Saccharomyces cerevisiae S288C: one gene and its partners. The gene in region 1 interacts genetically with each later gene. Each region holds a gene or a part of one and is shown in the gene's direction. Other genes may lie near its edges. The genes, in order: ISN1, YJR096W, POG1 and YGR153W.

Evidence for each region.
Region 2: mutations in ISN1 (region 1) and YJR096W together harm fitness more than expected from each alone (negative genetic interaction), as found in Saccharomyces cerevisiae (one large-scale study listed by BioGRID).
Region 3: mutations in ISN1 (region 1) and POG1 together harm fitness more than expected from each alone (negative genetic interaction), as found in Saccharomyces cerevisiae (one large-scale study listed by BioGRID).
Region 4: mutations in ISN1 (region 1) and YGR153W together harm fitness more than expected from each alone (negative genetic interaction), as found in Saccharomyces cerevisiae (one large-scale study listed by BioGRID).

Annotation. Positions count from the first base shown.
Region 1 is NC_001147.6:626,059-629,506, reverse strand, and holds ISN1 (IMP 5'-nucleotidase), read left to right. Parts: upstream 1-1,526; coding exon 1,527-2,879; downstream 2,880-3,448. Other genes in the region: SUMO ligase NFI1, read left to right, coding at 1-1,147; SLP1 (Slp1p), read right to left, coding at 3,015-3,448. UniProt on the Saccharomyces cerevisiae protein: IMP-specific 5'-nucleotidase involved in IMP (inosine 5'-phosphate) degradation.
Region 2 is NC_001142.9:609,183-612,546, forward strand, and holds YJR096W (aldo-keto reductase superfamily protein), read left to right. Parts: upstream 1-2,012; coding exon 2,013-2,861; downstream 2,862-3,364. Other genes in the region: SFC1 (Sfc1p), read left to right, coding at 591-1,559; JJJ3 (Jjj3p), read left to right, coding at 3,231-3,364.
Region 3 is NC_001141.2:128,780-132,181, forward strand, and holds POG1 (Pog1p), read left to right. Parts: upstream 1-1,830; coding exon 1,831-2,886; downstream 2,887-3,402. Other genes in the region: putative glucosidase SIM1, read left to right, coding at 1-802. UniProt on the Saccharomyces cerevisiae protein: Transcriptional activator which promotes cell cycle recovery with CLN2, after pheromone induced G1 arrest, probably inhibiting the ability of STE20 to activate the pheromone response pathway.
Region 4 is NC_001139.9:794,307-797,280, forward strand, and holds YGR153W (uncharacterized protein), read left to right. Parts: upstream 1-1,785; coding exon 1,786-2,439; downstream 2,440-2,974. Other genes in the region: Ras family GTPase RSR1, read right to left, coding at 368-1,186; GTO1 (omega-class glutathione transferase), read right to left, coding at 2,492-2,974.

The DNA of each region.
Region 1 (3,448 bases):
GAAGTATCCGGCGAAGACTGACCAATGTAAGCATATCCAATGTTTTGATGCTCTCTGGTTTCTTCACTCTCAGTCACAAGTCCCTACATGGCAGTGTCCGATTTGTCAACACCCTATAAAATTCGACCAGTTGAAGATTTCCGAATTTGTAGATAATATTATTCAAAATTGCAATGAAGATGTTGAGCAAGTTGAGATATCTGTTGATGGCTCATGGAAACCGATTCATAATAGTTCGGCCGTTATAACGGATACTGTTAACCAAAATCACAGTGTGAAAAACGAGAACCAAGGCACTGTCAAACAAGAGCAAGATTATGACAGCCGAAATGCCTTCGATACTAATTTGCGTAATGGTTCAAACCACAACGAACCCGAAATAATATCTCTGGATAGCTCAGATGATGAAGCCTTTATTCCGGCTAGTAAAAGCTTCCCAACGCACGTGAACCCCCGTAATGACCAATTAAGAGCAGATATATTTCCCTCAGAATCGGAAGGATCCAGTGACTACAACCCCAATCATACATCAACGCCGAAAGGTTCTCCAACTATGGACCAAGATAATTATCAAGATGCTTTTCAAATGAGGTCATTTTTGAACCAAGGCGCTACTACAAATATAAATGACACACCGACGAACAATAGCAGTATTAATTCTTTCGTTACGGCGACGAATGGTGACAGCAGAATATTCTACAATAGAGGGCCATCAACGCCACTATTACCGGCTGTTCTACAAAATTTGACTAATCAAACGGAAGCGCAGAGAAACCCCTACGGACCTAATTACAATACCACAGCTCAAGATCGTAATCTTTTGGGAATCGAAGGTGATTTGCCTCCAATCCCCCCTGTGGACCCAAATTCAGAAGCAGAAACTGAACTACCAACAAGGACCACATCGGCGGCACATCTCCCTCCATATATACACGTGAGCACCAGCGGCCATGGGGATGATGGAAAAATTAGGAAGAGAAGGCATTCTAATGTTTCTATCTACATTCCGAAGAATCCATACGCCACCCTTATGAAACGGAGACCACAGGCAAATCACGCCATAATGAATAAAACTCTGGCCCAAACTAATGACTTTAACACATCGGCTCAAGATAACTCGGAAGTGGTCGATTTAACATCAGATTGATTAACCGTCTTTTGATTTCTTTCCTTTCCGATTGTATTCTATTTTTATTTCTATTGTTTCATTTCGCTCTTAATATTGACTTCCACTTTTGGGCGTAAATGATGTTTTTGTTTTGATAAATATTACGACTTTTGTTATGTTTTTTTACTACTGTGGTTACTTCATGGGTGTAGTGTGCGAATCTGCAGTGATAGGTTTCTATAGATTTCTCTGTATACTTCCTGTATTACACTATAATATTTCATGTCCTTTCACTTCCCACGTTTAGCGGGACAGGCCGCCCTTAAATTAACAAAATTTAAAAGGTAAAGGAATGTACTAAGAAAAGAAAACTATTCAAAGAAAGTAACAAAAGATCGTGAGTTAACTTATAATAGCAATGTCCTCAAGATATAGAGTGGAATATCATTTGAAGAGCCACCGCAAGGATGAGTTTATAGATTGGGTAAAGGGGCTACTGGCCTCACCTTTTGTTCTACATGCCGTCTCTCATGAAGGTGACTACAATGACGACTTAGCAACAACTCAACGTGTAAGGTCGCAGTATGCTGATATCTTTAAAGACATTGAAGGGCTGATTAAAGATAAAATAGAATTTGACTCAAGAAACATGAGCCAAGACGAAATTGAAGATGGCGCCTCTTCTCAATCTCTGAATATATTAGGACAATCGCGTTTAAATCTTTTGGTTCCATCAATTGGAACATTCTTTACGGAACTTCCATTGGAACAAGCTTTTCTATGGGAAGACTCACAACGGGCCATTTCGGCGCGTAGAATGGTAGCACCCAGTTTTAATGATATCAGGCATATCCTGAATACTGCACAGATATTTCACTTTAAGAAACAGGAGAACTTACATAATGGTAAGGTTTTGAGATTAGTGACTTTTGATGGAGATGTGACGCTGTATGAAGATGGTGGCTCCCTGGTTTACACTAATCCTGTAATTCCTTATATTCTCAAGCTGTTGCGGTGCGGTATCAATGTGGGAATAGTCACTGCGGCCGGATATGATGAAGCTGGAACCTATGAGAACAGATTGAAAGGATTAATTGTTGCATTACATGATTCAACTGATATACCAGTTTCTCAAAAGCAGAATTTAACAATAATGGGTGGTGAGTCGAGTTACCTTTTCCGTTACTATGAAGACCCGGAGGAAGATAACTTTGGCTTTAGACAAATTGACAAAGAGGAATGGCTATTGCCTAGAATGAAGGCTTGGTCCCTCGAGGACGTGGAAAAGACTTTGGACTTTGCCGAGAGAACTCTTAACAGGTTAAGAAAAAGACTAAACCTACCTTCAGAGATTTCTATTATCCGTAAAGTCAGGGCAGTGGGTATCGTCCCAGGCGAACGGTACGATGAAGCTTCTAAAAGACAAGTTCCTGTTAAGCTTGATAGGGAACAACTGGAGGAAATAGTTTTAACCCTTCAAAACACTTTAGAGTCTTTTGCCCCATCTAGAAGAATTCAATTTAGTTGTTTTGATGGTGGTAGTGATGTCTGGTGTGATATTGGGGGGAAAGATCTTGGTGTTCGTTCATTGCAACAATTTTATAACCCTGAATCTCCTATCCAACCCTCTGAAACCTTACACGTAGGCGATCAGTTTGCACCGGTGGGATCAGCAAATGATTTTAAGGCAAGGCTAGCTGGATGTACCCTCTGGATAGCATCCCCTCAAGAAACAGTGAATTATCTTCATAGATTATTAGAAACTGATTAAAACAGTTTATGTAAAATGAAATTAGGACTATAAAAGTATATAGATATTTCCTATAGAAACACCTCATATATGGCGGTGGATTTTTTCATCTTGAATGAATTATGCTTAGAATTATGATTATGGGCCCTCTAGGATTCATCTGATTGCTTGTTGAACAATGTCTGCCTTTTCAATAGCGCCATTTTTGCTCTCTTCGAAATCTTCAAAGTAAAGCTCTCTCGTTATTAATAGATAGGATATCAACCCTACGAAGGCGAAAAATGACGCATAAACAATTCTTCTTTGAAAACTGACTTCTTTTTCCAATCTTTCCAAATGCAATAAATGACGGTTAGTAAATTTGTCATTCTCCAGTTTCTGTTCTTCTAATATACGTAAAGATTGATCTTTCAATTGATTGGCAAAGTTATTCAGCAGATCTAGATTACTCATCATTGTTTCGTTGAATATCGTGACAAGATGACTGAACTTTGCTTCGTGCGCCATTTCAAGTTGTTCAAACGATTTAGATAGCAGTTTGCTCTGTTCCTCAATGTAAGAAACTGTCAAACTAGAATTTGTCTCCAGTT
Region 2 (3,364 bases), on another chromosome or scaffold:
AGCGCCCGCCCGGAGAAATGGACGTTGGCGAATGAGCCATGAATTATTAACCGCCCATGTCTACCAGATACCACATCGTATGACAGTACCAGCCTAGTCCCGGTAAACCGCAAACGGACCTTAATTGTGACGAAGGGCCCAAATTTGATGGGTCGGTGTTAATGATTAGTCCTCATTGTCATAATAAAGTGTGATGATGGAGGCAATGATGATATACGGTAGTACTACTGCTCGAGGTGCTATCTTTTAACCAATCCTTTGAGATTCTTGTCGCCACGGAGTTACTACCTTTTACAAACCGTAATGTCACATTTTGCATATATCTTATGTATAAATATATAGTTCACTTACTACTTGTTCTCGTTTTGTTAACTTTCTTGTTGTAGTTCTTCTTGTTCTTGGCGTTTCCCCCTTTGTTTTCTATCTGCTTCATAAGTAAAGTGCAAAGCATTTTGGAAGATATTATCAATTGAGTCATTGAAAGAAACTTGGCATCTTCCCTATTACTAAAACTAAGAATACTTGATTCAAGAAAGAAGTTTATATTAGTTTTAGCCGTAAGATAACATAACAAAGAAGAAGAAAGAAAAATGTCTCAAAAAAAGAAGGCTTCCCATCCAGCCATCAATCTCATGGCTGGCGGCACAGCAGGTTTATTTGAAGCATTGTGTTGTCATCCTTTAGATACAATTAAGGTGAGAATGCAAATATACAGACGGGTAGCTGGTATTGAACATGTTAAACCCCCAGGATTTATTAAAACTGGGCGTACCATTTATCAAAAAGAAGGTTTCTTGGCTCTGTATAAAGGTCTAGGTGCTGTGGTCATCGGTATTATACCTAAGATGGCAATCCGTTTCTCGTCTTATGAATTCTATAGAACCTTATTGGTTAACAAGGAATCAGGAATTGTGTCTACCGGTAATACTTTTGTTGCTGGTGTTGGGGCTGGTATCACCGAAGCTGTTCTTGTCGTGAACCCGATGGAAGTTGTAAAGATTAGGTTACAAGCTCAGCATTTAACTCCGAGTGAGCCAAATGCTGGTCCTAAATATAACAACGCCATTCATGCAGCCTACACTATTGTCAAAGAAGAAGGTGTTTCTGCCTTATATAGAGGCGTTTCCTTAACTGCGGCAAGGCAAGCAACTAATCAGGGTGCTAACTTCACAGTTTATTCTAAACTGAAGGAGTTTTTGCAGAATTACCATCAGATGGATGTCCTACCTTCATGGGAAACTTCTTGCATAGGTTTGATTTCGGGTGCTATTGGGCCGTTTTCCAACGCTCCATTGGATACTATAAAGACAAGGCTGCAAAAGGATAAGTCCATCTCATTGGAAAAACAGTCCGGTATGAAGAAAATCATAACCATTGGTGCTCAACTACTGAAAGAAGAAGGTTTTAGAGCTTTGTACAAGGGTATTACCCCAAGAGTGATGAGGGTGGCTCCAGGTCAGGCTGTCACCTTTACCGTTTATGAATATGTAAGGGAGCATTTAGAAAATTTGGGTATATTCAAGAAGAATGACACACCAAAGCCAAAGCCATTAAAGTAGATGATGAACAATGGGACTACAAAATGAAATAAAGAAAAAATAGAAATAGGCTAGAAGATCAATTATTAATCGCCCTATTCTTCCTTATTACCTACACAAAATAAAGCAGCAACATAAGAAACAAAAACAAAATGAAAACAAACCAAATAAATCTATGTAAGCATACTCATTTCAATTTGATATTCATTACTTGACTTTTTTGTCCTTATTTGAGGCTCCATAAGCGCGCCATTTTTCCCTACTCCCTTTTTTCGTAAATAGTAATAATGTGCTGAAAAGAACAATGAAGTAGTTATCATACATATTCCGTCGTGTCGATATGAGGGGAGGTGTCTCTTTCTTTCATCCCTTGTCGCAACCTCCAATATATAAGAGCATAAGCAACTGATCTTACTTTAGTAATTAACTTAGCATACCTAGCCCGAAGGAAGAAAAAAAATTCACCTCAACAACATGGTTCCTAAGTTTTACAAACTTTCAAACGGCTTCAAAATCCCAAGCATTGCTTTGGGAACCTACGATATTCCAAGATCGCAAACAGCCGAAATTGTGTATGAAGGTGTCAAGTGCGGCTACCGTCATTTCGATACTGCTGTTCTTTATGGTAATGAGAAGGAAGTTGGCGATGGTATCATTAAATGGTTGAACGAAGATCCAGGGAACCATAAACGTGAGGAAATCTTCTACACTACTAAATTATGGAATTCGCAAAACGGATATAAAAGAGCTAAAGCTGCCATTCGGCAATGTTTGAATGAAGTCTCGGGCTTGCAATACATCGATCTTCTTTTGATTCATTCGCCACTGGAAGGTTCTAAATTAAGGTTGGAAACTTGGCGCGCCATGCAAGAAGCGGTTGATGAAGGATTGGTTAAGTCTATAGGGGTTTCCAACTATGGGAAAAAGCACATTGATGAACTTTTGAACTGGCCAGAACTGAAGCACAAGCCAGTGGTCAACCAAATCGAGATATCACCTTGGATTATGAGACAAGAATTAGCAGATTACTGTAAATCTAAAGGTCTCGTCGTCGAAGCCTTTGCCCCATTGTGTCACGGCTACAAAATGACTAATCCAGATTTATTAAAAGTTTGCAAAGAGGTGGACCGTAATCCAGGTCAAGTTTTGATTCGTTGGTCTTTACAACACGGTTATTTACCACTACCGAAGACTAAAACTGTGAAGAGGTTAGAAGGTAACCTTGCAGCCTACAACTTTGAACTGTCAGACGAACAGATGAAATTTCTTGATCATCCTGATGCTTATGAGCCTACCGATTGGGAATGCACAGACGCGCCATAAAAAGAAAATGCGAACCGTAGAATAACGTATATAGAACATATAATTAGTTTACGTTTCACAAAGTATTAATATTACATGTAGCTTTTTCAGGACTTTCGATCTAAATCAAAGATTAAAGGAGCTGCTAGAGGTAGAAAAGGAAATCATTGACTTTTCTTGAAGATTTATGAGCGGGTAACTGGAGATGGAAATTTTCAGAAAAATTGTAAATGGATGCGATGACTTCGATGTGACGTTACTAGTCTTACCATTGTAAAAACCACTATCGGTGCCAAAAGATAAGCGCAATCAACTAAGAAATTTACCACGCTCTTTGTATTGTATTTATCTCCAATTTAATCTTTCTTTTGGTGTGAAAATTTAGCGAAAATGTCATTGGTGAATTCGTTAACACACTACGAAATTTTAAGAATTCCATCGGATGCAACACAAGATGAAATCAAAAAGGCATATAGGAATCGGTTACTAAATACGCACCCCGATAAACTTTCTAAAAGCATACA
Region 3 (3,402 bases), on another chromosome or scaffold:
CGACTTTTCAGGCCCAAGTGAGAAATTCCAAGACGGCACTATTCCATGTGACAAATTCCCATCTGGTCAAGGTGTCATTTCTATTGACTGGATTGGCGAGGGTGGATGGTCCGGTGTGGAAAACACCGACACTTCCACTGGCGGTTCATGCAAGGAGGGGTCCTACTGTTCCTACTCCTGCCAACCAGGTATGTCTAAGACCCAATGGCCATCCGATCAACCATCTGACGGTAGATCTGTCGGGGGTTTGTTGTGTAAAAATGGTTATTTGTACCGTTCTAACACTGACGCGGATTACTTATGTGAATGGGGTGTCGAGGCTGCCTATGTTGTTTCTAAACTAAGCAAGGGTGTCGCCATTTGCAGAACCGACTACCCGGGCACTGAAAACATGGTTATCCCAACCTATGTTGAAGGGGGTAGCTCTTTGCCATTGACCGTTGTTGACCAAGATACTTACTTTACTTGGGAAGGCAAAAAGACATCTGCTCAATACTACGTTAATAACGCCGGCGTCTCAGTTGAAGATGGGTGTATCTGGGGTACTTCTGGATCTGGTATTGGTAACTGGGCACCATTAAACTTTGGTGCTGGCTCCACTGGTGGAGTGACATACTTATCATTGATTCCTAACCCAAACAACAGCGACGCATTGAACTACAACGTCAAGATAGTTGCTGCTGATGATTCATCCAATGTCATCGGTGAATGTGTTTACGAAAATGGTGAGTTCTCTGGCGGTGCTGACGGGTGTACCGTCTCTGTTACTTCCGGTAAAGCTCATTTCGTCTTATACAATTAAGCTACGTGACTACTACTTTTCCTTTTTTTTTTCTTTTTTCGAACACATCTCACCCCCTATACCTCACACAATCACTATGGTCCCCTTTTCTTTTTACCGATATTTATACTGTCCACCTTTTTCTTTTCGTTAATGGCCTCAATGTTTCTGTACCATTATCCAAGTGAACTTGTTAGACGACCAAATATAGCCAAGATTCATTACGATTATCTTTAACTAGCAAGTAGTATTCTTGGATAGAGAGATTTTCAAAGACGGAACAATTTTAAATAGATTTACATAAGAAAACACATACTGTCCGATACCCATAAGAAATTTAAGAACTCTTTTCATCTTCAGCTTTCCGGCCTCCTTTTACTGTAGCCTGTTCCTAGACAGCTAAAAATAGTACATATGCAGCTCTGCAATAGTCTCAAAGGGGATATTGTGTAGGTTTACGAAATCATCACATTTCCGAATCAGGACATGAAGGCACAACTTTCCGCACGTAGTGTTTTCAGCCCCCAGCGCCTGTCGGCGCGAAGAGGATCTGCGGAGATGAGCTTTGCCCCGCCATTACCCGTAAAATATTACTGTTTTGGGCAATTGTGGATCAAAAAGGGAAAATGCGGATGGTGAAAAAAATTTTTGGAAATTTACTGCTTCAGATGGGGGAACTTTGTAAGTTCTTCCTTTTTTTTCGTAGAGGTTGGAAAATTCAGAGTGCTAAGAAATTAAAAGGTATGCACTGCCTATTCTCATAAAAGCAAAAGTGCACAAAAATAATAAGGTGTGAAGCAATAGTAGAAAAGACACTGGGAACCCAAGGTATCTTATTTTAACAGATAAGTAAAACTAAGATCAAATCGCGTACTGATATCACTTAAGGTTCGCGTATTTTAAAGGCTACGCAGAAGAGGAAATAAATTGCGTGCAATCCCTGCGCTTAACTCATACAAAAAGGCGCAAAACATTTCAAGAGTCCCACGATTAATTGCAGAAATTGAAAAAAAATAAGTAAAGACGAAAATCAAAGTGGATGCCATATTATGAAGCAGGAGCCACATAGACAATCCGAAGAAAAAGAGAAGCCGAAAGGACCAATGGCTGTTGAACGAGAGCAGCATACCTCATTATCTTCTGGTACAACCGTGACAGCTAGTACAGGAGACGAGAGTACCAACAGTAGACCAGTGGAATCATCGCAAACAGAAAAGTCTCTATCGCTTCGAATAAGAATATTAAAACAACTTGGGTTTGACGATATTCAAGAACTAAATGCATGCGACACTGGCCTAGTGGAGCAATTTTTAAACGTACGATTGATAAACGACACAAAAGAACTAGAAAAGATACGCGAGTCAAATCTTGCGAAACTAAACCAGATTATTGATAAATGTATGGAAAGTGATAAAATAAGTGATTCGACATTAAACAAGATTCTTGATATGTCCATGAATAGAGATACAAATAATGATAACAACAATCATCTTACGATACCGTCTCCGATAACGACAAAGAAACGCAAGATAAACGCCTCCGAACTTGCAAGTCCACGAGGCCATAGAAGATATAGATCTGATATACCTACAGTGTCAGAAGTTGAGACAGGGGTCGGATACCCTCAAATACACCAGCAACCAGGCGCATATACTTTACCTATGCCTGCAAATCAGTGGATGAGCAACCCGTATATGCAACCTCCGCAACCACAAGTGCAACAGATAATGCCGCAGTATTTATATCCACCAGGGATGGGACCACAAGCTCAGCTTCCTACAATGAGCTCAAACTCGGAGTCCCAGACACCAGTGATGAGCTCACAGTTTCTTTCCTTGAACCAGCATGGCCTTTACCAACAAAATATAGGTGCTCATCCGGTAATGAGTATGGGCCCACAGGCAAATATATACGGGCAGCAGCACCAGCTGCAACCTGGTCAGGAACGAGACCAGTCAAGAAAAAGTTTTAGTCATAGAAGGTCACAAAGTGCCAATATTTCCATGGCAAATTTTAGGTCGCCCATGCGAAATCCCCAGCCGGCTTCGTCCCAAAGGCCCGTCAATTTTCTCATTCATACACCAAAACATCCTCCTCCCACATGACGTGCAGTAATTTTCATTTTTATCACCTAATTTCTAAAACTATATCCCTTCCTAACCTTCATTCGATGCATCCGTCCACCTTACTTCAGTTCAAAAAAAAATATATATCCATATATATGCTACAGTGTTATTATTACGATTTCTTTGCCTTTACTCCTTATCTCATTTCAATCATGAATAAACAGGATATTGATAATATATGCTGTCATTTTGGATTCAGTCTGCTTAACTGTCTTGTCCACCCCCGGTGTTCTTACCCGTCTGAGCGGTCGTAAGACGGAGGTAATAATTTTTCAGCATCCTGACCTCCCCCCCAAATCTGTGCCTTTCACCACATTTTTCTCGAGAAAATGTGTCTTGGCTCAGATGATGTCGTATGAGCTACTGGACTTTTTTTTGTTGGCCCTGATGAAAATAGTAATGGCGGTTACAGAACAGATAAACGGCGTCACCATCTTTTCCTAGATAAAGAAGCAATCTCTAGATAATGGGGTATATAAATATACATTGTAAAAA
Region 4 (2,974 bases), on another chromosome or scaffold:
CATAAACTATAAGAAACTACAGTGTGAGCTTTAGTTACGAGAGTGTGGATCTGTTCATTTAATATTTTTTATACGTAACGCAGCATCTACCGTAAAATCCCATAGATTGCGGGCACATGGCGCAGTTGGTAGCGCGCTTCCCTTGCAAGGAAGAGGTCATCGGTTCGATTCCGGTTGCGTCCATATTTTTAACATTTCATTTTTTTTGGGTTTAAATTTATTTTCAAACATTATTAATTGATTTCTTTAAAAACTTATACAACGTATGCTAATACTTTAAACTAAACCTTTTAGAACTATAATAAAACTATTTCAAGTAAAGTCTTTTTATCTGATATCTTGATTCATTTATAATAAAATTAAGTGACTATAGAATAGTGCAAGTGGAAGCGTTTTTCTTCTTTTTCTTTTGTTGTGAAGTAGCGCTAATTCCTGTCCTGTTGCTAGAACCAGATTTCGGAACGGCATGTGACGGTTTGTGCTTTTCATTAACCGGAGTAGATTGTTTAACTTTAGCTTGTCCTTGTGAAGATTTGTTATATAAACCTTTTGATGATTGCTTATTGTTTGATTGTTTCGTATCCTGTTTCGCAGAACTAGGGAGCCTGGTTGATGGAGACTCGATTTTGCTAAATTGTTGACTTTGATTTCTTGCGTCTTTAACTGCAACACTTTCCATTTCATTCCGAATGATTTGCCTAACTAAATCAACGAACACTTCATCCACATTGCTCCTCAACAAAGCGCTTGTTTCATAAAAGGGAACTCTACCCCATTTACTGCTTACCTCTATACCTTCTTCCACACTTATTACCCTTTCATTGATTAGATCAGCCTTGTTACCTATTAGAACCATTGGAACGCGATCGGAATCTTTGATCCTAAGGACCTGTTCTCTTAGCTCCATTAATTCTTCCAAAGATTGCCGATCTGTTACTGAATATACCAACAGGAACCCCATTCCTGACTTTATGTATAATTCTCTCATTGCAGTAAATTGTGCTATACCCGCTGTATCTAAAATTTCCAGGTCGAATACCTTGTTATCGATCTCGATGGTTTTCCTGTAAGAATCTTCGATCGTTGGATCATACGTATCCAAATAAACTCCCTGTACAAACTGCACGGTTAAGCAGGATTTACCGACACCACCAGCACCCAATACTACTAATTTATAGTCTCTCATTAGTCCTAATGTTTCCTAGCCAAATATTTCTAAGCGATGATAGAAGCCAAAATATTAGAACGTTGTATGTAAATGTTCTATATCGTTACTAAATAATAGTATTATTGTTCAGTGGAGAGGATGAAATTTCAAAAACTTCTTGGCGTAGTTAAGAACGAACGCAATGGTTCTTTTTTTCGAGATCGAGCTCTACTTTACTTTTTTCTTTTTCTGTCCTTCTCTCTTTTCTTTTTAACCTTTTTCGACGATATTTCGCGTTTGAGAATGTCGAGGATGAATGCGCTTTGACGCGAATTAGTTGTGAGGCTGACGTTGTGATAAAAAGGCGATGATTCTTGGGAATATACAGTCTGTTTCCACTTGCTAGATAAAATGTATGATATTCCAAAAATGCCTTTCTCTATTGAACTGTATGACTGAGATACGCCTGCTTTTACCTTGTATATTATGAGTACTATTCGCCTTTTCCCATAAAGTTGTTTTTTTCTGGGGTTTATGTGTATCGTAAATGGTACAAAATAATAAAATTCTTATCTTGAAAATACTGTTTAATACTTTTCATCATTACTAAATAGGTTACGAAAAGAGGTCTTTGAGAAATGGGAAAGGCCTGTTTGAATAAAGAAGTCGGCACTTACGAATGTGAGGGGGAAAGAGATACCTACTCATTTTTTACCTCTCTCTCAGATATACAGGATTCAAGTAGTAACGAGGAACAATGCGGTGTAGGAAGTATATTGAGTGAAGATAGTTTCACGTTTGAAGGGTCCAACGTGAGCATACGGTTATTTTCCTTGGACTTAAATGCCTTGAATGAAAATGAGAATGGATCCAAGAATCCTGTGAAATTTACCATTCCGCCAAAAATAGAACAAAGAAAGGAAGCAAGACAAAGAGAGAAACGTTTAAGGAGGGTGGCAGTACTACCTGAGAATTCGAGAAACTACCTTGTTGAATCAAGTATGGATTCAAGTAGGGAATACAGTCAACCATTTTTTGACTGGAGGCATGAAATGGTAGAACATGGAGAGGAGAGTGTAAAACCGTGTGGTTGTCATAAATCGAGAAAAGCAAAATGCTTCAAAGAACTGGAGATGGAGAATATAGAAAAGGGCGATATAAAGAAGAGTCTCTTTTACAGAGACATAATTGAATGGTGCAGAGACTATGAAGTCAATAAAACTAGGGAAGTCTGTGTTCCGTCTATACACGAGTTTTACCTACATGGAAATGGAAGTGACAACCTCTTTTGAAGTATAGCCATGCATATAAATATATGTGTGTGTAAGAAAATATTAGAAGTTTTCATAATCTAGAAATGTCAGGCTTTGGGCCTAATGGCACTATACCAAACTGATTGATCTTGTTCCTACTTACTTCCATCCTGATGTAAAAGAGCTTAATATGATTAAAATCTGTAGTAAATCTAAACTCTGCGTAATTCCAGTATAGATTAATCAACCACAAATGAAGGTACGGGAAACCATCCCTTATAGTTTTCAAATTGCATTTGAAGTGCTGCACGTACACGACGTCAAATCTAATTATTGATGGATACAATCTGATATCCGCTTCAGTTAACCTCTGTCCTAAAACAAAATATTTAGCCAAGATTTTCTGTTTGTTACCACTGAATTGCTCCTCTAAGCGCTTATAATTTTCTTTTAGTACACATTCCATCTTCTGCAAGTTTTCAAACAGTGTTTTTACTTCAGTTTCGTAAATCTTTCCGTTTTCTGCTAATCCGACTTTATAGACACCAAGATTAATCTTCGGATGAACCCATTT